4 linked regions of the Rhinolophus ferrumequinum genome follow. The protein of the gene in region 1 interacts with the protein of each later gene in a pairwise test. Links are inferred from orthologs where the notes say so. Each region holds a gene or a part of one and is shown in the gene's direction. Other genes may lie near its edges.

Evidence for each region.
Region 2: the proteins of CEP70 (region 1) and GCC1 interact in binary tests that used the Homo sapiens proteins (3 or more experiments, as listed by UniProt). The two-hybrid records come from large-scale screens. The link is inferred for Rhinolophus ferrumequinum from reciprocal best matches to the Homo sapiens genes CEP70 and GCC1.
Region 3: the proteins of CEP70 (region 1) and HSPD1 interact in binary tests that used the Homo sapiens proteins (3 or more experiments, as listed by UniProt). The two-hybrid records come from large-scale screens. The link is inferred for Rhinolophus ferrumequinum from reciprocal best matches to the Homo sapiens genes CEP70 and HSPD1.
Region 4: the proteins of CEP70 (region 1) and TTLL10 interact in binary tests that used the Homo sapiens proteins (3 or more experiments, as listed by UniProt). The two-hybrid records come from large-scale screens. The link is inferred for Rhinolophus ferrumequinum from reciprocal best matches to the Homo sapiens genes CEP70 and TTLL10.

The regions. Positions count from the first base shown.
Region 1 is NC_046300.1:37,673,590-37,680,768, reverse strand, and holds the start of CEP70 (centrosomal protein of 70 kDa), read left to right. Parts: upstream 1-4,178; 5' UTR 4,179-4,309; intron 4,310-4,319; exon of another isoform or gene 4,320-4,577; intron 4,578-6,629; 5' UTR 6,630-6,698; exon of another isoform or gene 6,699-6,732; intron 6,733-7,179.
Region 2 is NC_046309.1:18,181,452-18,188,398, forward strand, and holds the start of GCC1 (GRIP and coiled-coil domain-containing protein 1), read left to right. Parts: upstream 1-3,943; 5' UTR 3,944-4,332; coding exon 4,333-5,364; intron 5,365-6,228; coding exon 6,229-6,947. Other genes in the region: ARF5 (ADP-ribosylation factor 5), read right to left, coding at 108-217, 546-626, 1,142-1,208. UniProt on the Homo sapiens protein: Probably involved in maintaining Golgi structure.
Region 3 is NC_046291.1:33,113,015-33,120,404, forward strand, and holds the start of HSPD1 (60 kDa heat shock protein, mitochondrial), read left to right. Parts: upstream 1-4,386; 5' UTR 4,387-4,544; intron 4,545-5,447; 5' UTR 5,448-5,449; coding exon 5,450-5,623; intron 5,624-6,750; coding exon 6,751-7,003; intron 7,004-7,390. Other genes in the region: MOB4 (MOB-like protein phocein), read right to left, coding at 1,889-1,934, 2,017-2,106, 3,107-3,271, 3,893-3,895. UniProt on the Homo sapiens protein: Chaperonin implicated in mitochondrial protein import and macromolecular assembly. Together with Hsp10, facilitates the correct folding of imported proteins.
Region 4 is NC_046292.1:316,952-324,596, forward strand, and holds the start of TTLL10 (inactive polyglycylase TTLL10), read left to right. Parts: upstream 1-4,637; coding exon 4,638-4,804; intron 4,805-7,645. UniProt on the Homo sapiens protein: Inactive polyglycylase.

The DNA.
Region 1 (7,179 bases):
CTTAGCCCAGAGCCTGGCACATTTTAAGGGTTCAATTAATACAACTACTGTTATTCTGTATAGATTCTTGAGCATTTGTTATTATTTCTCTGAGCTTTTTGTTTAATGTTCTTCTTGAGCATTTGTTATTATTTCTTTGACCTTTTTGTTTAATGTTCTTCACATGAGAAAATGGCTACTGAAGATGAATGCCCCCTGTATAAACCTGACTCAAATTTAATAGTGCGATTCAACACTGCATTGAGCATCAACTATGTGCCAGAGACTATGCTAGGTGATGGAAAAAGTAAGATATGATCCATGTCCCCAGGAGTTCAAATTCTCATGTGGGACGCAGAAACAAATTATTAGTGTAAAAAAGGAGCCTAAGTCTAAAAGACTTGTGAGTTGAAGAATCTTAAAGAATTCATCACCCAATGTCATTCATATTTGACATACTCCTTGTGGTGGGAAGAAACCTGATAGTTCTATACCCAGGAGAAAATTTGAGAATCAGTTTAGAAGTTTAGAAATGAAAAGATCTGTTTAATTGCTAATGAAAGCTAAAATCTATACTGAGAAGGCCAAGCACAGAGGAAAGCAGTAAGCCGAAATGAAGAGTGGCTTTGGATCACAGCTTACGAGGTGTGATCAAAGAATATGGTGAATGTTTAAATAAAATTTATTACAGTAAAAGACACATTGCCATTAATCCCCCTCAAAATACTCCCTTCACTTCGAACACACTTATCGCATTGTTCTTGACACTTTCTGAAGCAGTTCTGGAAGTCCTCTATCATGAGTGTCCTTAGTTGCGCTGTCGTGGCTGCCTTGATGTCCTGAATCAATTCAAAACATTTACCTTTCATGGTCATTTTGACTTTGGGGAAGAGCCAGAAGTTGCATGGTGCCAGTTCTGGTGAATGAGGTGGATGAGGACACACCGTAATGTTTTTATTTGACAGAAGTTGCTGTACCAGAAGCAATGTGTGACACGAAGCGTTGTCATGATGGAGGATGATTTACGGCACACTTTGAAACACACCTTCTCTCAACCATAGCTCACACCCAACAGACTGCATTAAACAAGTTGAAACTTGTCACACTGTTACTAAGATTCGATGTGCCACTTTCCGTATTGAAGATCCCTGCCTTTCCGTTGGATGGCACTCAGCAGCAGCATTCACTGTATTTTTTGATCACACCTCATTAATCTCATTTCCTCAGAAAGGCCTCCTCCACACACCCCTGTTCTCTTCCTGCATAGCGCTTGTCACAATTATATGCTTATTTGTGTTTGTTTCACATTTCTCTTCTCAACTAGACTGTAAACTCCATGAGGGCAGGAACAACATCTGGTTTACTCACCACTGTAAACTCAGCATCTAGTTCAATCCCTAGTACATAACAGGCACTTTATAAATTTCTTGTAAATGAGTGGATGTTAAATAAGTGTTTAGAACCATCACAATCCTGATAAGTGGATGAGGCCCATACAAAACTTTTAAGACCAGTGCAGCAGGATGCTGAGCTGAAGACTGAACTTGTGTACAGAGTCTTTCCCTTCTCTAGCAAAGAGAGGTGCTGGACAGTCATAAGATGGTGGTCCCTAAGATGAGAATTCCTTTAGAGGACAGTTGTCTAGAGCTTCCTCCCCTCTACTTGCTACACCCAAAATCCAGGAGCAATGAGAGGAAGGGTCTAGTGTTAGGAAATAGAAAGTATTCAGCCTTCTCATGCTTGAAGATCATGAAGGATACTGGTTATCCATCTAGCATCCATTGTCCTCTCGCCCCTTACTGGACTGTTTTACTTAAGTAGACATGCCTCCACCTTCCAACTCATGTGATTCAAGGAGCATCCACCCCAGTGCCAATTCCCAATTATGGTAACCCCTTTTCCCTTTTGGAACTCAGGATATGTTTGTATGGGGCAGATCAAACTCACAGTGGGCCCTGTTGCCTAGGTAAGGCTGAGTATGGGCCTGAAAGTAAGAGCTGTGACGGAGGCCTTCTTGTGGGAGATGCCTTGGCTGATTCCTGCCGTGGGAGATCCCTGTTGGCCATTGTGGGAACTGCATCGCCACTGACGTGCGTCATTTGACCAGTTGGAAAATACAAGTTGTCAACAGCGACACCATGTGGTTATAAAATGCAACGTCAATGGTGGGCAGATGAGACGCCTGGTATATGGACGTTAGATTTTCCCTTAGGAATTTTTGGATCACTTAATCCCCTACGAGTTTTTAAAAATGCTGGGCAGGGACCCTATTTGTATATCCTCAACTTGTTGAACTGAAAAATAGAGCTGATTGAATTGATTTCCTTTTGTAGAAAAAACAAAGCAGTGATCATATTTGTAGACTGTTTGAACAGTTTTTACCTATATATCAGGATGCAAGAAAATTAGGCTTGAAGACACCCAAACAAAAACCTTTCCATTTTATGCGCCCTTTGAAAACTTGCCTATAGTTCCCTATTACCTCCTGGATAAAATCCCAGCTTAGCACACTTCCTAAGGCTTTCCTCCTCTGCCTCTCCAATGATGCAACACATTCAGCTTTCTTTTTTTCCTTTTTTTTTAAAAAAGATTTTATTGGGGAAGGGGAACAGGACTTTATTGGGGAACAGTGTGCACTTCCAGGCCTTTTTTTCCAAGTCAAGTTGTTGTCCTTTCAATCTTAGTTGTGGAGGGTGCCATTCAGCTTCAGGTTGTTGTCCTTTCAGTCTTAGTTGTGGAGGGCGCAGCTCAGCTCCAGGTCCAATTGCAGTTTTTTCTAGTTGCAGGGGGCACAGCCCACCATCCCTTGCGGGAGTCGAACCAGCAACCTTGTGGTTGAGAGGATGCGCTCCAATCAACTGAGCCATCTGGGAGGCAGCTCAGCTCAAGGTGCCATGTTCAATCTTAGTTGCAGGGGGTGGAGCCCACCATCCCTTGCGTGACTCGAGTTGTTGAACCAGCAACCTTGTGGTTGAGAGCCCACTGGCCCATGTGGGAATCCAACAGGCAGCCTTAGGAGTTAGGAGCATGGAGCTCTAACCACCTGAGCCACCCGGCTGGCCCCACATTCAGCTTTCTTAGTTATTATATTTGTAAATGCTTTGGGAGTTAGATTTTTGGGGAGGGCAGATATGAGCTGTATCAAAGGGGCCCAGGCTTAATTATAATACTGTCACGCAGGGCGGCCTGCGTGGCCTCAGCTCCCGCTTCCCACATAAGAATGCAGGATGTGGCTAGGCCAAAACGGAACACCCACGGAGCCATAGGTAAGGGAGTCATACCACTATAGTCTCACTGGAGGCTGGATTCACATGACGTGCGACCTGCTGTCCGCTTTTCCACCTGCCAACCGATCCCTTGCTAGCTGCAATCCGCCGTGCTAACTGCAATCTGTGCCAGCCACCATCTTCTTGCCCCCATCTTTTGTTAGGGTAGCCACAGCAGTTATATTAGTGGCCAATGGCTCACTGGTTACAGCTGATGGCCAACTAGCCACAGCTGATGGCCATCCAATCACAGTTGATGGCCATTTACTACCTGAGCCAGCACCTTTCCACGTGAGGCCGAGAGCCTGGAAACTGCACTTCTGGCTCTGTCCCCACAGCACCCTTTTCTAATCATACCACACTGTATCTTAATTTCAAAGTGTATACCCTTCTCCCTAACTAGACTTTGATCATATCGTCAACCACCTCTGCATTTTTGGAGCCCGATGTAGGCTTGACACTGCATAGATTGGGAAAATGCTGAATGGAAGAATAAAATGTCATCAACAAACCCTTATTGGGGTCCTCCAAATGCCAGGCGCTGCAGTGCTCTGCTAGGTCTGGAACTTACAGAACAGGCTGACCTGTCCTGCAGCAAGAGCTCGCAGTCACCTCCTGTGTATTTGTGTGGAGGGCAGCCTGCGCTGGCCAGGAGGCCCGGGCCTCTCTCCCCTCACCTCCTCAAAAGTGTATTTCTGAATTCTTCTGCCAGTTGATGCTCCAGCCAAGTGATATGAACTCCTGCGAGGCCAGAGCTTGTAACAAGTGTGCTAGGAGTACGCAGACGCAGACGGCAAACCAGGCACAGCATCTTGCGTCATCGTTAATAGTGAGCCCCGCCCCCAACAGCGGAGCCAACCAGAGGGCGCGGGGCTGACCCAGCCTCCCCGGGCGGCCGGTGAAAAATCCCGGCGTTCGGCGGCGGAGCAGAGGGCGGTTCTTTGACGAGCTCGGGCTGGATAGGCCTGGCTCCCACACCGCGGTAACGGTCGCGGAGGCGGGGCAAAGGCGGTGGAGCCGGCGGGGCTGGGCGCGCTGCTGCTGGGGGGAGGCGGCTGAAGAAGGTGAGTGGCGCTCCAGGTTCACAGAGGCATCGCTCAGAGCCCCTACCTGAAGCATCCCCGGAATTGGCTTCACCTGGGCCATGCGAGTGGTCAAACTGACCCTTGTCGGGGACTCCAGAGAGGAACCGCTTGGGACGGGTTCGCTTCCAGTCTTACGATTGGGGACCTGACAAACCTGGTTCCAGTCCTGGCTCTCCGCCCTTTGTGATCTTTGGCTTCTCATGTAATGTCTCAGCGCCTCAGTTTCTTCATTTATGTAATACAGCTGGTAATTCTTGCCTTGCATGGTGGTGGAGAAGGTTAAGTGGGACAATAAATGTAAAGCTTAGAATGATACATGGTGTAGACTGGATTCTGGATAAATTGTAGGTAATTACTCGATCCGCGAGAGTTGGTCAGGTCTGACCCGCCCCACTTTTCTGAGTCAAGGAGTCTGAGAAGGTTGCTTGGCGAGTGAAGACTTGGAGCAAAAGCGGGGAGGGTATATGCAAAGGGGTAGGTGAGTATTCTTTCTCCGGTTTATTAGGCTCATTCCGGAGGCTTCTGACTTTATGCAGTCTAATTTGATTCTATTAAGAAAATCGATAAGGTGTAAATGTTGGAGGACTGAGAGACCCGTAACATAGAGACCAATCCGAAAGGGTTTCTACTACCACTTTATGTTCTAACTGTAATAATATTAAACACGGTGCAGATATTAACCCATATTGGTTTCAATTCTCTACATGAGTTGTTTTTTTACTTTCAGTATTGCTTAGTAGACCCCGGCCTACCCCACCCCAACTTGGGGAAGAGGTGGCTTACTAAAGCTTTGCCTCAGCTTCTGCTTCAAAGCGGGGAGAGGAGAATTCTGTCCCTTTATGTAACTTCTGGGGCAGAATGATTTGGTCGAGATGATATCCAGTCCTAACTCCATTCCTTTATCTGTGGTAGACTCAATTCTTTTTAGGAACATGAGTCTTCTTATTAAACAGCATGTTAATACATTTTTGGAATAGAGCTTTTGTATTTAATTCACAGAGACTTTGAAAACATTGCCTATACCATTTATTGCCATAATGGGAAATGCTTTTGAGAAAGCTAATTACAGATTTTAATGTGAGTCACTTCAAAAAGAATAGTTACTTGCTGTGGGGACAGAGCCAGTAGTGCAGTTTCCAGGCTCTTGGCCTCACGTGGAAAGGTGCTGGTTTGGGTAGTAAATGGCCATCAACTGTGATTGGATGGCCATCAACTGTAACCAGTGAGCCATTGGCCACTAATATAACTGCCGTGGCTATGCTAGCAGCAGATGGTGGCTGAGCTAGCAAGCGCGGATTGCAGCTAGCAAGTGGGGTTTGTTGGTTGGCAGAGAAGCGGACCGCAGGTTGCAGATCGTGTGGATCCTGTTTCCTGTGTGTCCAACCCAGCTGCCAGCGAGAATATAGTGATATGACTCCCCTATCTATGGCTCTGTTGGTGTTCCTTCTTGGCCTCACCATATCCTGCGTTCTTATGCAGGGAGCGGGATCAGAGACCCCATATGACACCACGTGTGACACTTGCCATGGTTTATTTCCAGCTTTCCTGCCCAAAAAGTGGTGAAAAAAATTACATTCTAACGAAGGGTACAGTTAAAGGGACTTCAGACCTGTAAAGAGCAAGTTACCAAAGGGCTCTTGGGGAACCTGCACAGTGCTGGAAGATATAGCTGTGTTTTGCTTCTTTGCACTTGGTTTTTTATGCTATGTACAAACCAACTCCTACCCTGCAACTCCCATTCCCACAGTCTTACTTTAGGTATGACACTCCTTAAAGCTAGATTCTATTTTGGCCTTGGTAAGCTTTTGGTCTCTTCTGATGACTCAAAGTTCCAGCTGTGTCCTGTCACAGTCTGAGTGGGAAAGGCTGCTAGATACTATTGGCGCATTAATTTTACAGCATGGTCCTCTAAAAGGGAGGACTTGGTCACAGGTAGAATTGAGGAGATAGTTTTCTTCCTGCCTTTGCCTTTTGTGTTCAGTGGTATTTGTTTCTCTGAGAGTGCTGCTTTTCAGTACCCTTGCAAATAAGAATATTCTACCTTTGAAGCCAGAAGTCAGAATTGATGTTAGATGATGATAGATTTAGACTGCCGGCAGGGAGAGGAAAGTTATGGGGAAAGGAGAAGAGAGAAGGCACATGGTGTTGAGCATTGGAGTCCATTAGCTTCAGTTGGTCCAGCTTCAGATCAGTGTTTACTAGTACCACGGAGGCCTGCTCTAGGAATAACACAAGACCATTCTTACTATGAGGTTGAACATTTTAAGATTGTGGTCTATTTATTTTTTTTGAAACCTAGATGAAGATCCAGTTTCAGACCTGAGACTTACTGGGTGATCATTTAATTGAGATCAACTGGAATGACCAGGTAAAAAGTGCAAGAGGAATGTGCTATGACTGAGGTATGTCTAATGTGATGGATGACTCTCTCTAGATGTTGGGAGGCCATGGAAAGGATTTATTATTTATTGACCACTATACTAGGTACATTACATGTATTTCCTTTTGACCTCTTGGTAATCCTCTCAAATAGATATTTTGATTTCAGTTAAAGAAACTGAAGCCAGAGCAGCCAGTTGACTCAGTTGGTTAGAGCGCAGCGCTCATAACACCAAGGTCGTCGGTTCGATTCCCACATGGGCCAGTGAGTTGCGCCCTCCACAACTAGATTGAAAACAATGACTTGACTTGCAGTTGAGCTGTGCCTCCCACAACTAGACTGAAAACAGTGACTTGACTTGGATCTGATGCATCCTGGAAAAACATACTGTTCCCCAATATTCCCCAATTAAAAAAAAAAAAATGAAGCCCAGAGAGGTTAAGGAACTATTTAAGATAATAAAGATTGC
Region 2 (6,947 bases), on another chromosome or scaffold:
GGGAGGGGTAAGGCTTTTTCCTGGCCCAGGGGCCCAGCCTAGGCCAACAATTTTCCTAATGCTATCACCTCCTCCCCTGGGGTTGGGGAGACACCCTCGCCCCCCACCTGAGTGTTCTGGAAGTAGTGCCGCCACAGAGGTCGAATCTTGTCCTGGCCTCCCACGTCCCAGACTGTGAAACAGATGTTCTTGTATTCCACTGTTTCCACATTGAAGCCTGAAGATAATTGGAAAAAAATATGAGGAAAAAGTCGTGATTGGAAGGAACTCACTAAACTACAGTGCATTCAGCAGGGACACAAATCAGAAGGCAATGATCAAGGTCTAAGGGAAGAGAAGTCCAGAAGACTGGCAGTCAACTGGCAGGGCGGGGCTAGGTCACATCCACCCCTCCTCACACCATCCAGCAGGTAAAGATAATGTGACCCACTTCTCAGGTAGCTGTATCTGGTGTCAGGTCCCAGCACGGAGACGCAGAATGAGGAGGAGACCCTGAGCTGGCCGCCACGCTCCAGCTCCTCCCAATCTCACCTCCTCTGACTCACCTATGGTGGGGATGGTGGTGACAATCTCCCCCAACTTCAATTTGTACAGGATTGTGGTCTTGCCAGCTGCATCCAAGCCAACTGCAAAGAAGAGGGGCATAGGGATGGAGATGGGAGCGAGGGAGCCCCCTAGAGACCAGGGAAGGGGAGAGGCCAGGACAGCTGACGGTGACAGGGGCGGAGAGCCCGAGAGCTTCCAGGTGCGCGCTGTTATCTACCTTCCGGGCCTTAAGGGCAGTCCGGGTGATGAGCGCCAACTGCTGCCCCTGAAGCGGGCGAGGACTGGGGGTGTAAGGGGTACAGGAGGAGGACCGCGCTCCTTTTAAAAGTGGCCTCCAAGGGCGGAATCCTCCCTTCTTACCATCCGGGCTGGGGCGGAGGGAGCGTCACCCCACCCAGGCCCGCAGCTCCCGGTTTCAGGCCCCGGGAGCGGCGCTGCAGACTGTGACCCGCCCGAGAGCAGTGGCCCCAGGGGTTTAGAAGGTGGGTGACTCAGAGTCAGAAAGCGGGGTGAGCTGGCCTGGAGGGACGCGGGGGCGGGAGGGCTGCGCGGGGGCCGGCGCTCCCGTCCGGGCCGCGCGCTTGATCTGCCTCACCCATAAGGATCCGCATCTGCTTCTTCCCGAAGATCCGCGAAAAGAGCGCGGACACGGTGAGGCCCATGGCGGGGCCCGGGGAGGGGGCACGGACACGGACACCGGGTGCAGGCTGGAACCGGCCGGCCGCGGGGGGATGGGGCGCAGCAGCAGTGGGAGGTGCCGCCACCGCCTCCGCGCGTCGCGGCCCGCCCTACGTCACGGCGGGCCCGCCCCCATCGCGCTCCGCTCCTAGCTCCGCCCCCCGCCCCGCCCCGCGCCTCGGGCTCCGGGAGAAGCCGAAGCTGAGCGAATCTCCGCAGCCTGGCTGGGTCCCGCGCCGGTTTTAAAGAGGGAAAGGGCCAGGGTCTCCCCGTTTCTAGCACGCCTGGCACATCTGTGGCTGTTGAACCGGCAGTCAGAGGGGGGCGGAGGAAAGCCTTCAGTGCTCCGCAGCGGCCCCCACCCCCATGTTCCGTGGCCCGCCGCAGGGCTTTGGTTTGTTGCGTCCAGCTCACTCTGGTCTCCGGTTTAGTTCTTTCTAACTGGCAGCCTCGACTGTGTGCACCACCCTCTTAGAGGTGCGTAAGCTCCGTGCAGTCGTCTTAAGACCTCCCTTTTGCCCCCGCAGCTCCCAGTGAGGGAGGGGCTTGGAGCACAGTAGGTGGTTCAGGAACCGTAGACTCGCCCGGGTGTGCAAGGAAGCAAAGCTTTTCAGTCTGGACCCAGACAGCCTTTCTGAAGTCCTTCCTCTCTTTGCCACAGACCTGGCAGCCTGCATTATTAATGCACACCTATCCAGGATGTGAGGATGTGGTTGCCTCCTTAGGCCCGAAGAGCTTCTCCAGTAATTTCCCCATTCATCTTAGCGTTGGAGGGGAAAGAGCCAGATTGGAATTCATTTAAGTATCTTCTATGGCAAAAACTGGATCATGCCAGGCTTATGCTTAACAAATGCTTGTTAGGTTGAACTGGACTGGTAGGTTGCTCAGTGGAGCGTGGACAGGTGTTTTGCCTGTTCTGGAGCCAAGTTGCTTATGGACTGGACATGGTGAGGTGAGCTGGGAAGCAGAGAACCTTCATTCACTCAGTCAACAAATATTGAATGCCTACTGTATGCCATTGTTCCAGGCCTCCGTTCAAATCTCAGTTCTGCCTTTTTTTGAAGGCTTGCCTTCAACAATCCTCTCAAGCTGTCATTTTCTTATCTATAAAAAGAGACTGATATTTGTCCTATCTCATGAGGTTATGGTAAAGATTAAAATGATGAGATACTGTATCTGAATGTTTTGTATAAAACAGCTGGATGTTTCCTGGGCCACTAAGAAACTGGGTCTGAACAGAGCTCCAGGGCCTGCCCCATCCAGACCTGCAAGTCTGTAAAGAGAACAGACTTTGGGCATCAGGTATGAGTGCATGACTTTACTCTTCAATCACACTTGCATTCCTAGGATGACTTTTACAAGGTCGAAGAATACATTTAAAAGAGTCCCAATATAATAACACAACTAGCGATGAACAAGTCAGGTCAGTTCTACATCTTCAGCTCTTTTATTAGCCTCTTTCTTTCTATCACTGTTGTCACCGCCATATTTCAGTACCATCTCTTCTCCATGACTGCAACAGTCTCCTCACAGTTCTCCTGCCCCTTGCTATTGCCACCCTGGCATACAAGTCTTGATGACACCACTCTTGTGATTAAAATCCTTTAGTGTCTTCTTATCACCAAAGATAAAATCTAATGCCTTAATTTGGATCCCTACCTCCTAGGCCAGCCCCGTCTGTTGCCACCTCCTTCACATACCCTAAACTACTGCCTCGAGATGCTTCTCAATGCTTTCCAGGTGAGCCAGCCTCCCTGATGCCACAGGAGTCCTCGTAATCTTTTCCCTCTGCCTGGAATGCTTGTTTCCCTGATCTCTAGTTAGATGGGTAGTCACTACTCATCCTTCACATCCCAAAGTATTTTCTCTGAGAGCCTTCTCTGCCTCCCCTAGACAGGACTTCCTCCACATCACTTTGAATATACTTATGCATACCGGTACGATGGCAGGACTTGTGTTTGCATGCCTGGTTCTTCACTAGATGGGAACTCCGTGAGGGCAGGACCTTGTCTCATCATAGTGATCACCTGGCACAGCATTTGGTATGTTGAGAGTTGGATTGATCTGGATAGCATCCCTAAACTTAGCTGTGCGACCTTGGGCATGTTACTTACGTCTCTGTGCTTCATGTTTCCATATCTGTAAAACAGTGCTGACAATACCCACTGAGCAGAATTATTGTAATGACTACATACCAAAACTCTTGCAAAGCTCCTGGAATATAGTTGGCACTAAAGACCGACGTCCTGGCCATACGGATGCCCTTTACAAACATTTGTTGCATTAACTCAGCAGAACTCAGGAAGGGTGCTAATAATTATTATACTATACGCCTTCCAGGTGCCAAACACTGTACTAGCAAGGGTTGCAGTGTTCGTGGTTTGAATGAGAGTCTTAATTGTTGCTCTTTAGGGACAAAGGTACTGAGCTCCCAAATAGTGGAGACACGTCGCGAGCTGTTCAGTAAGGACTCAGTGCGACGTCGCCCCCTGTCCCTCGCTGATCGTAGCCTGAAGGCAAGCTCGGGTGAACCTCACGAAATCAACATCACTCGCGTCCTTAGCTTGGCTTGTGCTGCTCTTCCCGGGGAGAGAAAGCCTCGCCAGGTTCCCCACAGGCCGCGGCCGAGCACTCCCCGGCTGGGGTGGCCCCGCGCTCCTCTGGCCACTGGGGCGGAGCCTGCGGCGTCTTGCTGTCGTCACTTCCAGCGGACCCGGAAGCGCCCTTGTCGGGCCGCTGTAGTTCGGAAGTCGCGAAGGGGCTGCGCTCCGCTTAAACCCCTGGCGGACAGTGGGCCGAGGTCCCGCAGGGGCTGCTGTGGCCGGCGCGGGCGGGAGCGCGGGGCAGCTTCTGGGACAGGGCGGGGGCGCCCTGGCTGTGTGCTCCCCTCTTGCCCGCGTCACCCCGCCTCTAGGTGGGAACCGCCCCCGCCTTCCGTACCCCGGACCCGGTGGCGCTTCTGCCCGCTGCCCCGCCTCCCCGCGTCGGTCTCGGACAACTGGGAGGAGCGGGTGTGCGGCCGCGGGGACCACAACGCCCGCCAGCGTCCCCGCGACCGTCTCCCGGGCTGCCCCAACGCTGACGTGGAACCACCCGTTCTGAATCCTCATGGAGAAGTTTGGAATGAATTTCGGGGGTGGCCCCAGCAAAAAGGACCTGCTGGAGACCATTGAGACGCAGAAGAAGCAGCTCTTCCAGTACCAGGCACGTCTCAAGGATGTGGTTCGCGCCTATAAAAGCTTACTGAAAGAGAAAGAGGCGCTAGAGGCCAGCATCAAGGTGCTGTCAGTATCCCAAGAGGCGGATGTGGGCCTGGCAGATGGCCCGCCTCCAGGCCTCACCTGTCCTGACAACGTGGATGACCGATGCTCCACTCACAGCGAGGATAGCACTGGGACCGCCACTAGCTTGGATACTGTCGCCAGTCTCACTAGCACCAAGGGTGAGTTTGGGGTAGAAGATGACCGACTGGCCCGTGGACCACCACCTCCAAAGTCGGAAGAGGCCAGCGGGTCGGAGAGTGGTGTTAGCAGTAGCAGTGGGGATGGACCGTCTGCAGGTGGGGAGGTGGACAAACGATTGCACCAGCTGAAGACTCAGTTGGCTACTTTGACCAGCGCTTTGGCTACAGTCACCCAGGAGAAGTCCCGCATGGAAGCTTCTTACCTGGCTGACAAGAAGAAGATGAAACAGGACTTAGAGGATGCCAGTAAAAAGGCAGAGGAAGAGAGGGGCCGTCTGGAGGGAGAATTGAAGGGGCTGCAGGAGCAGATAGCGGAAACCAAAGCCCGACTTATCACACAGCAGCACGATCGGGCCCAGGAGCAGAGTGACCATGCCTTGATGCTGCGTGAGCTTCAGAAACTGCTGCAGGAGGAGAGGACCCAGCGCCAAGACTTGGAGCTTCGGTTGGAAGAGACCCGAGAAGCCCTGGCAGGGCGGGCATACGCAGCTGGTCAGATGGAAGGGTTTGAACTGCAGACCCGACAGCTGACCCGTGAGGTGGAGGAGCTCAAAGGTCAGCTGCAGGCTCTCCAGGATGAGAAGAATCAGCCAGACCCCCGGCTGCAGCAGCTGCAGGAAGAAGCTGCCTGCCTTAAGAGCCATTTCCAGGCTCAGTTGCAGCAGGAAATGAGGAAGGTAATTATCTCCATCTCCTTCAAAAAGTCATTTAAACCTGAAATGGGAAATATTTGTTTTTCCGCCTTTGATAGATCTCAGTGGCTGCACTGTCAATTTTTGATGCAAAATGTTTTATTGGTGAGTTGGAAATTCTGTTCTATGTGGTGTTGACAGTATCCACAGAGCATGTTTCCAACAGGATGTAGAGTTTCTAAGTGTAGGCTGGGTTGGAGCCAGACAGATCTAGCATTGGCATCTTACCCGCTGTGCTCTGCGAAGCAGTACTGTGGCAGACATGCAGTGAAAAGGTCGTGTGTCTGACTGGAGCTGTATGCCTATGTGTAGGTAGTGGTATATGCCTATAGGAAGGATGGCTGAAGGGGGAAAAGGGAGTTTTCTCAGAGGAAATGACCTTTTGTAACGGCTTTCAGCCAAGATTTTGCCAACTCTGGAAAGGTATTCTATTTTTATAGTGCCTCCATTCAGTGTGGAGAGAGGTCCAACTCAGTTTTGATCTTCCAGGAATATTGGAAGAGATGATTCCATAATAAGATTTGGGGAAACACATGATAAATGAAGAAAGCACTCTTTATACGTGAGTTTGGTGTATGATAGGAGACAATGGAAGTACGAAACCAGAATAGGAGCAGGTATGCAGAGGTTCTTAATTGTTTGGTATAACATGTGTCTGTGAGCAGAACGCAAGCAAGTTACAGGAACTTTTGTTAGCTCCCAGATCAACCAAAAAATCCCCAGTTCCCGTTCTTGCCAGGCCATCCCCATTCTGTGACTCTTTGGCTGTCCTCTCTGGTGCTCTCAAAGTTTGCCATAGCGCTTTGTGGCGTTTCTGGATGCATTTCCATCTGTTTCCTTGTTTTACAGGCAGCCCTCGCAGAGGATCAACGACGTCAGCAATCTCAGCTGGAAGAGCAGAGGGTGGCAGCCCTGGAGAACCAAATATCTGAGGTGTCGGAACTGCTGGGCACATATGAGAAAGCCAAGCAGAAGGACCAGCTGGCCATCCAGAAGCTGAAGGAGCGCATCATGCAGCTGGACCTGGAGAACAAGACGCTGGCTCTCGCAGCCTCCAGCCGGTCCCCTCTAGACAGCCATGGAGAGGAGTCCAGTCTGGACGTCAATGTCCTGAAGGACAAGATGGAGAAGCTGAAGAGGCTACTGCAGGTGGCGACCAGGAAAAGCCAGGTGACCTTGGATGTGGAGAAGCTCTGCGACCTGGAGATAATGCCCAGCTCTGAGGCCGCTGACGGGGAGAAGGCTACCGTGCTCTACTACCAACAGGAGCTGAAACAGCTGAAGGAAGAGTTTGAGAGGTACAAGGTGAGGGCCCAGGTCGTCCTCAAGAGCAAGAACAGCAAAGACGGCAACCTGGCCAAGGAGCTGGAGGAAGCCCAGGAACAGCTTGCAGAGCTCAAGGAGAAGTATATTTCCCTGCGTCTGTCCTGCGAGGAGCTTGAGCGCCAACACCAGCAGGAGGCCGAGGACTGGAAGCAGGAGCTGGCCCGGCTACAGCATCACCACCGGCAGGAGCTGGAGCGGAGCCAGCTGGAATTCAGGGACCGCACGCTGAAACTGGAGGAGGA
Region 3 (7,390 bases), on another chromosome or scaffold:
TGAAGTTTTAGACAGCGGCACCAGGTGGATAATCTAAGTCCAAATCCTGGCTTTGCCACTAAGTGACCTTGGTTATTACTTAACCACTCTGCACCTTACTTTCATCTTCTGCAACGAGACTGATAGTTACCTAGCTCATAGGGTTGTTGAATGATTAAATCATTTGACATATACAAAGTACCTACAACAGTGGCCAGTGCCTAGAAAATGCTCCTGAAGCGTTAGCTGTAATTATGACGACAGTGCCTATCCCGGCATATACAAGGCACTCAGCCAATGTTAATTGTTATCTTGCCTTGGAATTTTTTGCCAAATTATGTAAAACTTGAGATGACACTGGATTCCACAAGTAACTGTAGTTCAATAGAAGCTTGTTCTATATTGTTATAATGTTGCTTTTTTAAAAAATGTGTACCTTTGAGATGTTGTCATGATTCAACCACCCAAGAGTAGAATTTTAAACCAATCAGTCTAGAACTTCCTGATCAACACTAGTGAGGAATGAAGTGCTCCATCTCTAGACCTGGACCATAAACACTTCCTTTGACTCTGTGGAGCGGACTCCAAGATGGAGTCTGGGACCCTAAATGATTGTGTGGAACAATGCCCTTCCCACCAACTTGCATTGTACTGTAACATTGTGAAAAATAACAAACACAGCTAGTACTTTTTGAAGTCCGAGCTGCCACCCCAGTGGAACTGCTTTGGAAGTCTTACTCCTCAAACCTTTGGAATGTTAAAACTGGGCAAAATAACCTTTGTACTGAGCCTAAAGCAGCACTGCATTCCAAACAACTGTTTGCAAAGCTATCAAGAAAGCAGACATGACTGCCAGACTGAACATTCTTTAGAATTAGCATCACTGTTAGCTTATCCGCACCTATAGAAATTCCCTTTTCATGCAGTTAGTTGTTCCCCTTCCCTTTCTCATAAATACCTTTCCTTCACCTAATTGAACACTATGTGGGTTTTTATCTGAAGCAGTGTAGAGTAGCTTTGTGGATGAAAAAAGGGGTTCTATTAAAAGTAACCTCACAGTGATCTAATCATAAATTCCTAACTGGGCAGGCCATAGTGAGTAGTCATGTCTGAGGCATGTATCTTCTTTAGTAGAAGGTTAATCTTTAAACAAGCCCAGTCCATTGTTTCTATGCATCTAGGTAGGTACACATCTTTGAAATGCCTCTCTTCAGACCCCCCCCCTTCTAAAGTGGACCACCCTCAAGAGAGCAGTCTTAACTATCTTGTAATCCAAAGCTTGCTTTCTCCCACCTTATGTAATCTTCCTCAGTTCCCACCTTAATCTCAAATGCCTAAAAGGAACTGCAAACTAACCATGTGGGGAACATTTGAGATCTTGCTCCCAAGTGTACGTCATCAATTTGGCTCTAATAAAACACTTACAAAAATTCTCTACAGGTTTGGTTGTTTCTTACATCAAGAGCTTCAACAGCTACAGCTATTCTTTTGGATCTCATTTCCTTGTTGCTTCTCAAAAAAAAAAAAAAAAAGTAAGTGTAAATCCATGGCTTTGTATCAGCATCAATTACCTATGGAGTCAACCTAAATTCAGTGTGAAAATTAAAGCCTTGTTTCCCAGAATTTGCTGCAGGTTACTTGAGAAAAAGCAAAAAAGTATAAACTAGAGAACCCTAAAACCATCTTAAATCACTAAATAAAAATTAACCATTTATTTGTATATTTTTATTTGGAAATGTTTGTATCAGTACAGTGGAACTAAATTTTAAGAGACACTAGATGTCATTACTTTGGATATTATTAGTTTATTACAAAAGAGACATGGAAATTATTTACATGATGAGATTTCAGAACTTCAGTGGAATGGGCAGCTTCACGTGATGCCATGTCAGTAGTGATTTATTTCAGTCTACATACTTTCCAAGAATGTCACCATCTCTAAACAAGAAATAGTCCTGCAAATAGAGAAACCGTTAGTTAAGAATAAAGACAAAAGCAAATACTTAACTTTTTTTTAAAACTATTAAGTTTACACACCTTGTCATCTATAACTACTTTGGTGCCTCCATATTCTGGAAGAAGAACTTTATCTCCAACTTTCACGCTAACTGGTTGAATCTCTCCGCCCTTAAGAAATTAAGAATATTTATTAGCAAAGACATCTAGTTCACCAAATATTTACAGCTAACTTCTATTAATCAAATGTACTCACTCAAATCAACTGTTAAAGAACTTGGTAGTGTTATAATTTATACAATTGTAGTTCTTAACTCAAAAATATCACTGTAGAGTTACATTTTGAAATAATGCCTACACAGTGGCTTAAACTGAAACCTGATTTCAGTGTAAAAGTTCAAGGAGTTATACTGGGAAAGCTAACTTAAGCCAAGTTAACTTAAGCTAATTTTTTAATGGTTAAATATTAACATAACCTATGGACTATGTAAAATAAACTAGTTTTTAAAACCATGTGTACATGGTCATGGTTAACTTCAGCATACAAATTTTTTTTTTCAAATTTCCTGAATTTGAAACATACTTCTTTGGAGATTCCATTTCCTTTCCTCCAAAATACAGATTTGGGGAGAGGGATGGAAGCACTGTGCCCAATCCCCAAAAGCTTTCTATTTTTGATTCCAGGATAGCTCCTTTCTAGAAGTTTCTCTGAGGCACCTGGAGCAATTAACATATTTGACCCCAACATTTTATTGTGTATTCTGCCTGACACTTTGAGGTCTGAGATCTAACCAGTTAATTGGAAAGTATATGGGAGGGTAGTCCAACCAGTTCCTTTCATAGGTATGCCAAGCAAGGTGAAAGTAGTTAAAAGACTAGCACAATCTCAGAGTTAGAAGTTAGACCAAGAATTCAAATTTCCCCTCAATTCTTAAAAGCCGCCACAATTATCTTCAAGCATAAATTGTAGTTTTAATATCCTCGAATTCTCTATCATATAAAATAAGCAATTTTACAATCATTTTCATTAAAGAGACAATTAGACGTGATTGAACTAGGGAATGATCGTGAAAATAAAATAAGCTACTTAAAAAGCTATTTTTAATAATAACCAATAATTATTTTTCTGTCCATTTCACATAAAAAATAGTTCATTTTAGCCCCCATTTACCTTTCCTTTAGAGCCGGATCCAACAGCTACTACTGTTGCTTGCAATACTTTTCCTTGAGATTTTTCTGGAAGCATAATGCCTCCCTTGGTTACAGTTTCTGCAGCACTCCTTTCAACTAATACTCGGTCAAAGAGGGGGAGAAACTTTCTAAATGCCTGTCCTGCCTGTAGAGAGAGAAATGTTTGATTTGAAACAAAAAGAATATGCGATTATATTCTGAACAGGCAATGCCATCGTAAATTACGCTATCAAACACCGCATGTGGCTTTCCAAGATAACGGCCCAACTCAATTACTCGTTCACGAAACCCACTGAACGTTCTGAACTTTCTGCTCTATATTCCAAGTCAATTTCCAATTCCCTATGTGTGTTAAGGGTCATTGTTACTCCTCTGGTCAGCAGCCAGACGAGCTTTACAGTCAACCTTAGCTTATTCCAAGGTCACGTATTTTCCTTCCTTAGGTTTTTCTGAAAATGTTCAGCACACACTGAGGTCAATCTCTCCGCCTAAAGCCATGCTTTCTTTACATTACACAGGCCCTGCAGGAACAGCGGGTCCGCCACCGCGCGTGCATCTGGGTTCCCGCCCCCTAGCCTACACGCCCGCCGCACACGCGCGTGCAAAGAACCCTCGGCAGAGGAAAAGGTCGACAGGACCTGGCTTCTCCAGGGTTCGAGCGGATACCGACCCCTGGGTGACCCCCTATCCCTCCTACTAGGCCCAACGCGAACTGTCTCAGGCCGATCCATCCGGGCACGCCAGGCACCAGCCCACGCGGACTCACCATGACTCCGGCAGCAGCAGTTCGTACTCTGCTCTCGCGCCGCGGCCGCAAGGAGAGACCTGCAGTCCGGTTTTCGAGACACGTGAACTTTAGAAAAGGCTGCCCAGGGCGCAGGCGCGCTCGCTCCAGCCACCCGCCCCTCCCCTTAAAAGAGGGCGGCCGCCGCGGCCCGCGCCGCGATTCGTCCCCGGGGGCTCTGCGCAGGCCACTGACGCAACGACCGGGAGACGGAAGAAAAGAGGAGCTCTTTCTAGGCTTTTCTAGGCCGCCTGCGGAGGTGAAAGTACTAGCCCTTCGCCTCCTCCCGGAAATGACGCTATTTGACCCTTGACCCACAGAGAGTGCGTCGCTCCCCGGAAAGTTCTGGAACCGAGCGTAGCCCGGGAACTAGCTTAAGCCGGCTCGAGAGGGCTGAGCCCGCTGGCCCGGCCCGGCGCGGGGAGGGAGGGGCGGAGCTGGCGCGCAGCGCGTGCTGATTGCCGGGCCGGGCCTGGGAAAGAGGTGGGAGGCGCCCGCACACGCTGTGCCGCGGGGCGGGGGAGCGGCGGAGGGAGGGGACACAAGCTCATTGCCGTGTGCGCCCTGTACTCTGTCCCTCACTCGCCGCCGACGGCTTTCCTTGCCGCTCGCACGTCGTGCTGCTGCCCCGCAGGTATGCGGCCTCCCCGCATCATGTCACCCAGGCGCCTCGGACCCGGCGCCGGCCTTCCCCCGCTGCGGTCCTGCCTGAGTGGGCCGGCGGGATAGAGCCCGAGTTTCCCGCCAGTGCCGGAGGCCATGGCCCGCTGGCCCAGGCCTCGCGGATCCATGCGGGAGCCCGTCACGTGCGGCAGGGATCGCTCGCCGGGGCAGGGCGTAGGAGGGAGGGCTTGCTCAGGAGTGTGTGTGGAATTTGGGGAGTGTATTCACATGGGCCCTCCGATGCAGCCCACTCCTGGCCGGCTGCAGAGATTCGGGGAAGGTAGTCCCAGCCGCGTGGAGACTGCCTTTGGCCCAGCGGGGTTCGGCCCCTCCACCCTTGACCTTGCTCGGGGCGTCTCGATGAAAAGACACGTGGGGCCCCGGCCGCCAGCATCGGGGCCTGGCGGACTGCTCAGATACAGTAACCCCGACTGGATACATGAAGACACATTTTACTCAGCAGATTTTTGCACCGTCAGGAATGTTTTTACTCCACCGGCCACCGTTTTTATGACCTGCCCCTTTCTTGCAGGCTTTTCTCAGGGGCACGTTTGGAATGGGTTTGCTCTGAAGGCCCTTTTAGCGGTAAAAGATTAACTTGTTTAGAGAGGCAGGGGTAGGTGGCCAGGAGCAAGAAGGTGGGTGTGCCTTTTGCCAGTGCGGTAGGTCAGGCGTGGGGGCAGCCCTTGCAAGCTTGCGCTGGTACTTGGTGGTCTGTAGTTGGGGCGCCTTCTGTGGCCCAGGTTTGGTGGGTGGCAGAGGCCAACCTAGCTCACGGCTAACATTTCTTGTTCTGTTGCACAGGTGTTGTAACCTGCTTCGGGTAATGCTACTATTGTACTGATGATAAATGCTTGTTTCTCCTCCTCCCCAGAAATGCTTCGATTACACGAAGTCCTTCGCCAGATTAGGCCAGTGTCCAGGGCACTGGCACCTCATCTCACTCGGGCGTATGCCAAAGATGTAAAGTTTGGTGCAGATGCCCGAGCCTTAATGCTTCAAGGTGTGGACCTTTTAGCCGATGCTGTAGCCGTTACTATGGGGCCAAAGGTATCAGTATTGTTATTGTTGTAATTTATAATAGTACTCTAATTAGGGAATAACTTACTGATGGCAAATAGTCACACTGAACTATAGAACAGTACGTGGGTATCCTTTTTTGAGAGAATCCAATTTACATGTGAGTTCCACATTATGGGTTAATCTTTTTTTCTTTTGCGTATATATAATGGCCTTAAAACTTAAACTTCTGCCAAATTTGTGAGATTTTATACAATGTGTCGTAGAATCCAGTGGTAACTCATAACTCAAGGTGGATCCTTAAACTCAAGGTAGAATTAATCTTGCTTGCCTACTTGAGTTAACTTTTGGATTCTTCTCCAGTCCGTTAGTACCAAGCATAGAGGGAAGAATATAATTTATCTCCTATAATATCTCAGGAGGTGCTAGTTTTACCAGTGTTTTTCTGCTGTCCCTTCTGTTCCAAAGCACATTTAAAATTTTAAGTCTCATTTAACATGAAGAGATTGGTGAGTTGAAAGGTAATAATTTGAGGAAGACAAAGGTTGTGCACATTTCAGATATCAAAGTGATCCAAATTGTATAAAATGTGGCATTTGCATGCCTCCCAAATAGCTACTTGGTTTCAAATCCAAAAGCTGCCAATACTCTGCACCATGTTTGAGATTTAATGTCGAACAACCCTGGAAGAGAGTACTGTGCTTGCATTGCTGTTAGTATTTTAATAAGTATATTTCAAAGCAAGTTTAAAAGTAAGTGTTCGCATTAATTTCAAAATAGCTGACACTGGATAAAACTTAACTAGAAATTATGTGAAGAATAAGCTGGAATTTCATTATAATCTACCAAATTGGTATTGTTTTATCTGTATTCTTGTTTCATAAAATGTCATCTTTTAGTCTCTAGGTTTTTTTATCTCACATAATTCTTCATCCAGAGTTGTGCCCTTCGCAATAGAGAGGTCATTTTTTCTGTAAACTTAGAACATCAGTGAACTTGCCCTTGAGATTCATGCTGCAGATCTGATTTAAAAAAAAAAAAATCATGTTGAGGCTTTCAAGTAATTACCCTATTATTAAAACTGCTCTTTCTGTTTTAAGCTAACTAGTACTTTGAGTGTGTGATTCTGTCACATTTTTTTTTCTCTGAAATTGTAGGGAAGAACAGTGATTATTGAACAGAGTTGGGGGAGTCCCAAAGTTACAAAAGATGGTGTGACCGTTGCAAAGTCGATTGACTTAAAAGATAAATATAAAAATATTGGCGCTAAACTTGTTCAGGATGTTGCCAATAATACAAATGAAGAGGCTGGGGATGGCACCACAACTGCTACTGTACTGGCACGCTCTATTGCCAAGGAAGGCTTTGAGAAGATTAGTAAAGGTGCTAATCCAGTGGAAATCAGGAGAGGTAGGAATGTCTTTTCATTGTCCCCCCAGTGTTTTGAACTGTCTATTAAATTATATTAGAAAGTTGATTCTTCCCTTAAAAATTCTTAACGTTGAGTATTGCTTCAGCATATAATGATTGAATACCTGGCTACATATGTTGTTAAGGAGAGAAAAGTGACTAAGACATTCCCTGTTGCCAGTCCCCCCCAACTCCTCTAGACCCTCCCCCTGAAAGCCAACAGTTTATTGGAAGATACAGCATATACTGTGTATCTTGAAAATAGGAAACTTGTGGGGATTAAAGCAGAAAGATTATATGGTTTTGATGTTTTATGTTTTACTTTAGTTATTCGGAAAGTAGGGCTTAACAAGAAACTAAGTCATCCAAGGATGTCAACCGGTTTTT
Region 4 (7,645 bases), on another chromosome or scaffold:
CGCCCTGTGCAGTCCCCTCCCGACTCATGGGACTGCACTTTCGAGGGTGGTTATAAAAAGGCTGTGGCCTGTCTCGGGCGCTCTCTGTAGGACTGCTCACCCTGGGGGAAGCCAGCCATGGTGGGCAGCGTGGGGCACCCTCGCGTGGAAACCCATCCAACACCACCACGGTGGCCTCGTTTTGCACAGCCACCGAAAGCTGATAAACGTCTTCAGGCATGACACTTGGGGACATTTGTCATGCAGCCACAGGTAACTAACACAGCGTGCCGCCTGAGCTCGGTGTCAGCGGGCGACAAGGACGCCCCTTTTCCTGCACCCTGTTCACCAGCTGCCTGGACCCTGTCACGTTCTGGCTGACCTCCGGTGTGGCCCTCACCTCCCAGGCTCTCCCACTGCCTCTGTCCTCCTTGGTTTGTGTGCGGCCTTCGCCCCATGCCAGGTCAGCTGAGGGGTCAGTTCTGCCTTCCGGTCCGGACAGGGCAGCTCAGAACACTGCGTGACCCTGGGTCCACCATCCCCCACAGCCCCACGGCTGCCTGGGTCCCTACAGAGCTGCCAAAGGGTCCCCGACTTTAGATCCATTTAATACTCAATCCTGGGCACCAGTCTCCACCCTGGGTAAATATGTATTTGGCAACTGAGGGCTCACCAGGACGAAGGCCATGAAAGGCTTGTGAGCACCTGGGGCGCCAGCCGGCCCAAGAAGGGTGGGTGGCGTGGAGTCGGGCGGAGGTGGGTGCCCAGGCCCCTGAACAGGGGCAGCTGTGCCTAAGGATGGCGGGCCTCGTGGAGCCGCAAAGCAAAGACGTCCCACCTGGCAGGAGGCCACGGAGAAGGTGCTTTGGACAGCTGTCCCCTGTAAAGCGGGCGTGGGAGCCTGGCGCTGGGAGCTGGGCCAGGGGCCTGTGCTGGCATAGGATGTGTCCTGACGCCTGGGCCTCTGCGTGCTGATGGTGCGATAAAAGGCGCCAGGGAGCCCCATCGTACTGGGGCTGTGTTCCGGAAAGACGCTGGAGGCTGGCTCTCAGCGAGGCCTGAGATGGTGGGTGGCCTCTCGGCCTGGCTGGGCAGACCTCCCAGCTTATCAATGGCCCCCGACCCACTGCTAGCCCAACATTGGGGTGCAGTGCAGCCACCTGCCCCAGAGCTCAGGAATAGTGGTGGGCAGGGGTAGCGTGTGCCCACCCGGAGCCCCTGGGGACTCTGCTGCCCTCTCCGGGTGGCACCAGCCCCAGGCCTTGCTCACCTTGGAGGGGGCCCTGGGGGTTGAGGTAAGTCCTGGCCTGGACCGCAGCCACATGGACTCAGGGGCCAGGAAGGGGCCTGGCCCCTGGGCCACAGCCGTGCCTCTACCCCATCCCAAGCTCAGCGGCAGGTGGCCATTGGCTGCACTGGGTTGGGCCCCCAGGTCTGGCCCTGGGCTGGTCAGTGCTTATCCAGGACTCATGCCTCGGATTCCAGTGAGGACACCCTGCTCGGCCCTCGTGCTGCCCGGGGCCAAGGAGGCCTGGCAGGGGTTGTGTTCTTGGTCCAGCCCTGCCCTCTGGGAGCTGGGCAGGTGCGGACTCTGAGAGCTGGGGCCGCCCACCGGTCCAGATCTGCTCCTATGCAGTCCGGGTCCTGGGACTCAGGGCCTCAGAGCCTGACCCACAGTCCTCCAGAGAACTGCCAGCCAGAGAGTGACAAGCCTGGTCCCAGCAAGGGCCACTCGCCTGCAAAAGACAGTCCCCAAATTCCCTGGTACAAATATGAACCACACAGCCACCTTCACATCAGCAAAAGCCCGTCACAGACCCTAGAGCTGCTGCTGTTGGTTTGTGAGCAGAAGGCGGGACAGGGCATCACTGAGGAGGCCCCCCAGTCCTGGGGGGCCTGAGGGGGACCCCCAGCAGGGTCCCCTTGGCCTCCCTGGAGTGTTAGCCCACAGGGGGGACCCAGGGTCCCCAGGGGCAGCACCAAAGGGGCCCAGTTCCTGCTCCTGGCTGGCGTGTGATGACCAACCAGCCTCCCTGTGGCTCATCTGTGAAGTCAGCGTGGCCACCACCTGTCCGGGACGTTGGCTGTCTGACCTTAGTATGGCGGGATAAAATCACGACACACAGCTCCGAAGCCACGTCCGTGAGATGTGATTATAAAGGGGAGATGCCATGGTCTTGGGTGGAAAGAGCACAGCTGGTTTTTAACCTAATATTCATATATGTACATTCTATTTACTTACATCGAGGCACAGCAGAAAGTTTGTAGGGAGCGCACCAAAGTGTCAGCAGTGGTCATGGTAGACGAGGGCCAGCCCTGCTGGTGTTCTTCACACCCACCTGACAGTGGGCGGCCAGGGGTCTGCCTCCCACCACCCGCTCACTGCCAACCCCTTTGGTAAGCGTCTACTTCCCAGAGATGGTGCCGCCGACTGCCAGCTTTCAGGAGAGCTCTCAAATGGAGCTGGGGATTGTCGCAGATTTCAGCTCATGGGCTCCTCTCAGCCACATTTCATTCCAGAAGGAAAAGCCTCTTTTGTCAGCTCCCCGTGCTGACCTGTGCTGACCTGACGAGGCATCACAAGTGTCCCTCCCCTTCTGGGGAGAAAGGACAGGGGTGGCTGGTCTACCGTGAGCTGCAGCCTTTGGTCTTCGGAGGAGGCTACAGAAACAGCTCACCTGAGTGTGTGCTGTGGGCAAGGCCTGCTCCATAGCCAGAGCCAAGCTAATCTGCTCAGGACCTCCTGGCCCCCACGCCTGTTCCTGGGGACTTGAAGGGGCCTGGTGCCTGGGGGCAGGGGCACCTGCCTACCTGGTTTGGCCCTGCAGCTACCCCAGGCTCCCTGAACCTGTGATAGCCTGGGACCTGGACAGGCTTCTCCAGACACTGCCTTCCCAGCCCAGGGCCAGACGGTGTCCTCAGCGGCCAAAGGACCTGGTCCTCAGTCACCCCCCTGGTGGCGTGTGTATGGAAGATGCATGCCCTTGCACACGCACACAGACACACGTGCACACGCTCACATGTGTCAGGCACACACCTCGGCAGACCTGCTCCGAGGTGGTCCTCCCCAGCTGCCTGGCAGTGTCTCCACCACCATACGCTGTTGGACGTCGGGAAGTCCATCCCCCGATGTCCCTGGCCTTCCCGTGGCTGAAAGAGCCTCATGGTTGCGCTGCCTGTTCTACTCGGGACATCTGAGATGTCCCTGCAAGCAGAGCAGGACGGAAAACCGGAGTGGGCAGGGGGTCTCCAGGTGGAGACCAGTGGGGGGTGCCGCTCCAACACCCGCCCTGCTCTCAGGCCCCAGGGCCTCCAGATCACTGGCCTCTGACCTGGTGCTTGCCCGGGGCACAGACAACACCTCTGATCCCTTGGCTGTCTGGGGACGTGCTTGTGGTTCCCGCACCATGTCCCCCAACCCTCTCTGGCCCAGACCGCTCGTCATTCCATGTCTTCTCTTGGCCTTCGTTCGCTGCCCTGTCACTCTTGCCAAGGATGGGGGCATCTCATCCTCTGCCAACTCCTAACATTTGTGGTTTCCCCCACACATTGATCCTTTGCCCTGGCCAGCTGGGAAGACCCCACACTCCCTGCCCCTGCCCCATGGCCAGCCATACCTACCCCCGGGACATAATTGTTCCCTATATCATACCGGCTCCCTGCACCTGCCCACCGCTGGCTCTCACCCCCGCTTTCCAATACCTGCCCCAAGGCCATTGTCCTTGCTGGGAATACTTCCCCAAGACCCTCACCACCACCTCCTTTCCTTTGTTCAGTCCACGTGTTGCCCCCAGACAAAAGCCTCCCATCACCCGAGACCTGGTCCGTGCCTTTGCTGTTGTAGCCTCAGTGCCCAGTACCGACTTGCTCCTGGTCAGAGCTCACGGACTGTTCAGGGGATGGTGGGTTCCCTCTCTGCTCCTGTCCCCAGGGTGGTCAGAGCCTGGGAAGGGAACGTGTCAGTTCCTCTGTGTCCTCTATGTGGGGTGGGAAGCCCCTCCTGTCATGTCTCCCACTGGAAAAGATGAGACAAGCTCCCTGCTCCCCTTCATGTGATGATTTGTTTTCTGAAATGCTGTCTCTGTTCCCTTTGCCTGCATTCTCCTTCCTGAGAATGGTGTAAGCATTTAAGATGCCATTAGAATTCACAACACGCTAACCTATAGTCACTACAAGGACTCCACTGGTGGTCTCTCAAGTTCCAGGGGGCCTTCTGATGCCTAGGAGGTCAGGGGAGGGACTTGTGTGGTGCTCACAGCTGTCCATGGGGGGCAGAGGGTGGCCTTCCAATGTGTTTGGAGGCCTGGTGTTCAGTTGTGCTGTCTTGAGCCTTCCCTGCCTCTTGTGCTTTGCCACCTTCCTTCCTGCAGGTGAGCAAAGGCTAAGGGGAGGCCAGGGCAGGGGATGGTTGGGTAGTGCTGTGGGAAGGTGGGCCTGGGCATCTGGGACCTGCCGTGAAGGGGAGGTAGGGTTTGGTTCTTAATCAAATGCAATAATGTATTAAAAACAATACACAGTGATCAAATGGGCTTTGTCATTGGAATGCAAGCCTGGTTATTAAAGGAGAAAATGTGATCTCCTCGCTTGATGTGGAAAAAGCTTTTAATAAATTTCAAAACCTATTTGTGACTTTACAAACAGCTCTTGGCAAACTAGCAATGGGCGGGAAGATCACTAACGTGCTCAAGTTCCAGAGAAACCTCAAAGTGAACTTTACACTAAGTGGAGAAGCGGTGGTGCGTTGTCTTCAGGAGCTGAATCAGGTCAGGGCCGCCCCCACATCATGGCTACTGCCTGACACCGTATCGGAGGTCCTGGCCAACAGGTAAGGGAAGAAAACTAAAGGAGGGGCGTAAGGCTTGTAAGAGGAGAGAGAAAAAAACTGATGTTACTTGCCAAAAGATATGATCATCTGCCTAGAAAAACCGATAGAATTGATGGGCAAACTGTTAGAATAAGAGTCCAATAACATTGCTGAATAACAGACCAACCTGCAAAAATCAATAGTATTATCTTGAAGACATTGTGCTGAGCAAAATAAACCAGACACAGAAGGACAAACACTGTGATCCCACGTAAAAAAGGCATATAAGAGGAGTCAAACATAAAGACAGAAAGTATCTGGTGGTGCCAGGGGCTGCGGAGGAGGATGAGTGGGTGTTTAATGGGGACAGGTCCAGTTTGGGAGGATGAGAAATTCCAGAGGTGATGTTTGCACAACAGCGTGAAAGCCACTTAATGTCACTGAACTGTACTTAGAAATAGTTTAAATGGTAAATTTTATGTTATATTTCTCAATGAAACATCAATAGTATTGTAAGGATGCCGCACAAAGGTCATATATTGTATGAATCCATTTATACGAAATATCCACGACAGGTAAATCCACAGAAACGGAAAGCAGGTTGGTGGGTGCCGGAGGGCTGGGGGTGGGGGCAGGGACTGACTACATAATGCAGACGGGCTTTTTTTGGGGGTGATGAAAAGGTTCTGGAACCAGATACAGGTGGTGGTTGCACAACATTGTGCATGTATAAAGGCCACTGGAACGTAGTTTAAATGGTTGATTTTATGCCATGTGAATTTCACCTCAATTTTAAAAAATGAAAACAAAATTAATAGTCTTGCTTGATACCCACAATAAACAATTAGAAAAAAATAATTCACGACAGCAAGGGACACAATGAAGTGTGTAGGATTTAACTCAAGCGAGAAGCCACCCAGACTGTGTCGGGGAGCTGTGGAGGCTGACCATGTTCCCGGGGGGGATGGAGGTGGGGGCTGTGTACTACACAGCGACCAGTTCTCCCCCGTTAACCCGTGAGGTCCGTGTGATCCTATTCAACATGACCGTTAGAGCTTTTCAGGAACTAGATAGACTTCCTCTAGAATTTAGGAAAGAAAAAGTCGTGAATAACTAAGTGAGCCTTAAAAAGAAGTGTGTGTGTGGCGGTGGGGTGGGGGGAGCTAGCTGTCCAGATATCAGGGCCTCATAGCTCATAGCAAAGCTCCACAGCTACACAGAGCAAGCAGGTCTGGGAAAACGCCTTGATGGCCAGGGGAGCGGGAGGCGTAGGCACAGACTTTTCCATTCGAGCGTATTTGATGTACAATGACAGCACCAACCAAGTGACCAGGATTGGACCAGGCTCCTGATATGGAGCCACCCATGGGCCTGGTGGCCTGGTAGTTGGCAGGGAAGGAGACCCCAAACAAACCCTGCAACACACAGACCACCTGGCAAAAAATGGTGCATTTGATGGTGTCAAAAACAGGGCTTCCCGGCCCACGGCCATGACAGGACCTGAGAAGACAGCTGCCCTTTCCTTACCTGTGGTGCTGCTTCCCGGGGTTTCAGCTACACGTGGCCAGCTGTGGTCTGACCGTCTGGGTCCCCAACCAGCGACACCATCTGCTCCTGACACCTAGCCCACATCGTCACGGCTCGGCCACCCAGGGTCACCGGAGCAGAAGGCCAACAGAGAACGATGCCCGCGTCACTCACCTCACACATCAAACAGGCCCCGCGTCACCTCACATCATCACCAGCAGGCTGAGTGCAGCACAGTGAGACGTTTTGAGTGACAGGGACAAAAGGACCGTTACCCAGTGTGTGGGGAGCAAGGAGGGCGGCGCAGGGTTAAGAAAAGATCGTAGCCATGAATAGAGTGTAAGCGGGACCAAGGGACTCCAGCCTCAAGGACTGAGGCCTATACAGTACCTTTATTAGTTAGGTGGGGAAGTAAAGGAGATAAAGCTTGTCAATCTCAAGATCTGTGAATCCCACACATCATAATAGGAAACTGATTCAAGCCAATCACCGTTGCCTGCAGGCAGCTGGACCATAAGTCTCAGGATGTCTGTACTTCCCCGAGGGACAAAACCTTTATGCATATGAATAGATGGAGAGCACACCATTGAATCTCTTCCCCTGCAGGTTGTGGGAAGGAATGCAGCCACAGAGGCAGAGGCTCTCCTTAGCGAGGGGGGGTGCTGTGCCCACCTCTATCCACCCCATGGATTCTCCTGTGGGTCCCCACGGGCCTCCACCTGTCTTAGGTTGCCTTCCACGTGGTAAGTCATACCCGTCATTGGCTGACCAGCATCTTTCTGGGGCCAAACAGGGAGATACAAAGTACAAGCACAAAGGTGAAGCAAAGTCCCTGAAAGGATCCGTCTCACAGACTTTCCTTGCTTTAGGGGCAGGTACGAGGAGACAGACGGGTAGGCTGCTGCTTGGCAACAACTCAGGATATACAAGGAGTTCTGCCACTTAGCAGGAAGAGGACAGAAACTCCAAAACAAAGTGAGGAAACGAGCAAAGGCCGTGAACAAGAACGTTCCGGAAGAGGAGCCCCTGAGCCCGAGGGCCTCGGATGGGTCATGGCCAAAGCCGTCAGCAGCTACAGAAGTGCATGGATCACAGGACAGGCCCGTCCCCACCAGAGCACAGAGCATGTAGGCCGGGCGCGGATGGTGCCACTGGGCTGGGGACATGGACTGCCAGGCTGGGGACGTCCCGTACAGCCGTGCGTGGGGCCACAGGGGTCCTGGCCTGCAGCCTTGCCCTGGTTTGGCCTGTGTCCTGTTTGTCACTCACCTCTGTGACACCATGCAAGTGGGTACCCACTGCCACACGTGTTCCCAGCGTGAGCCTGGGCAAGAG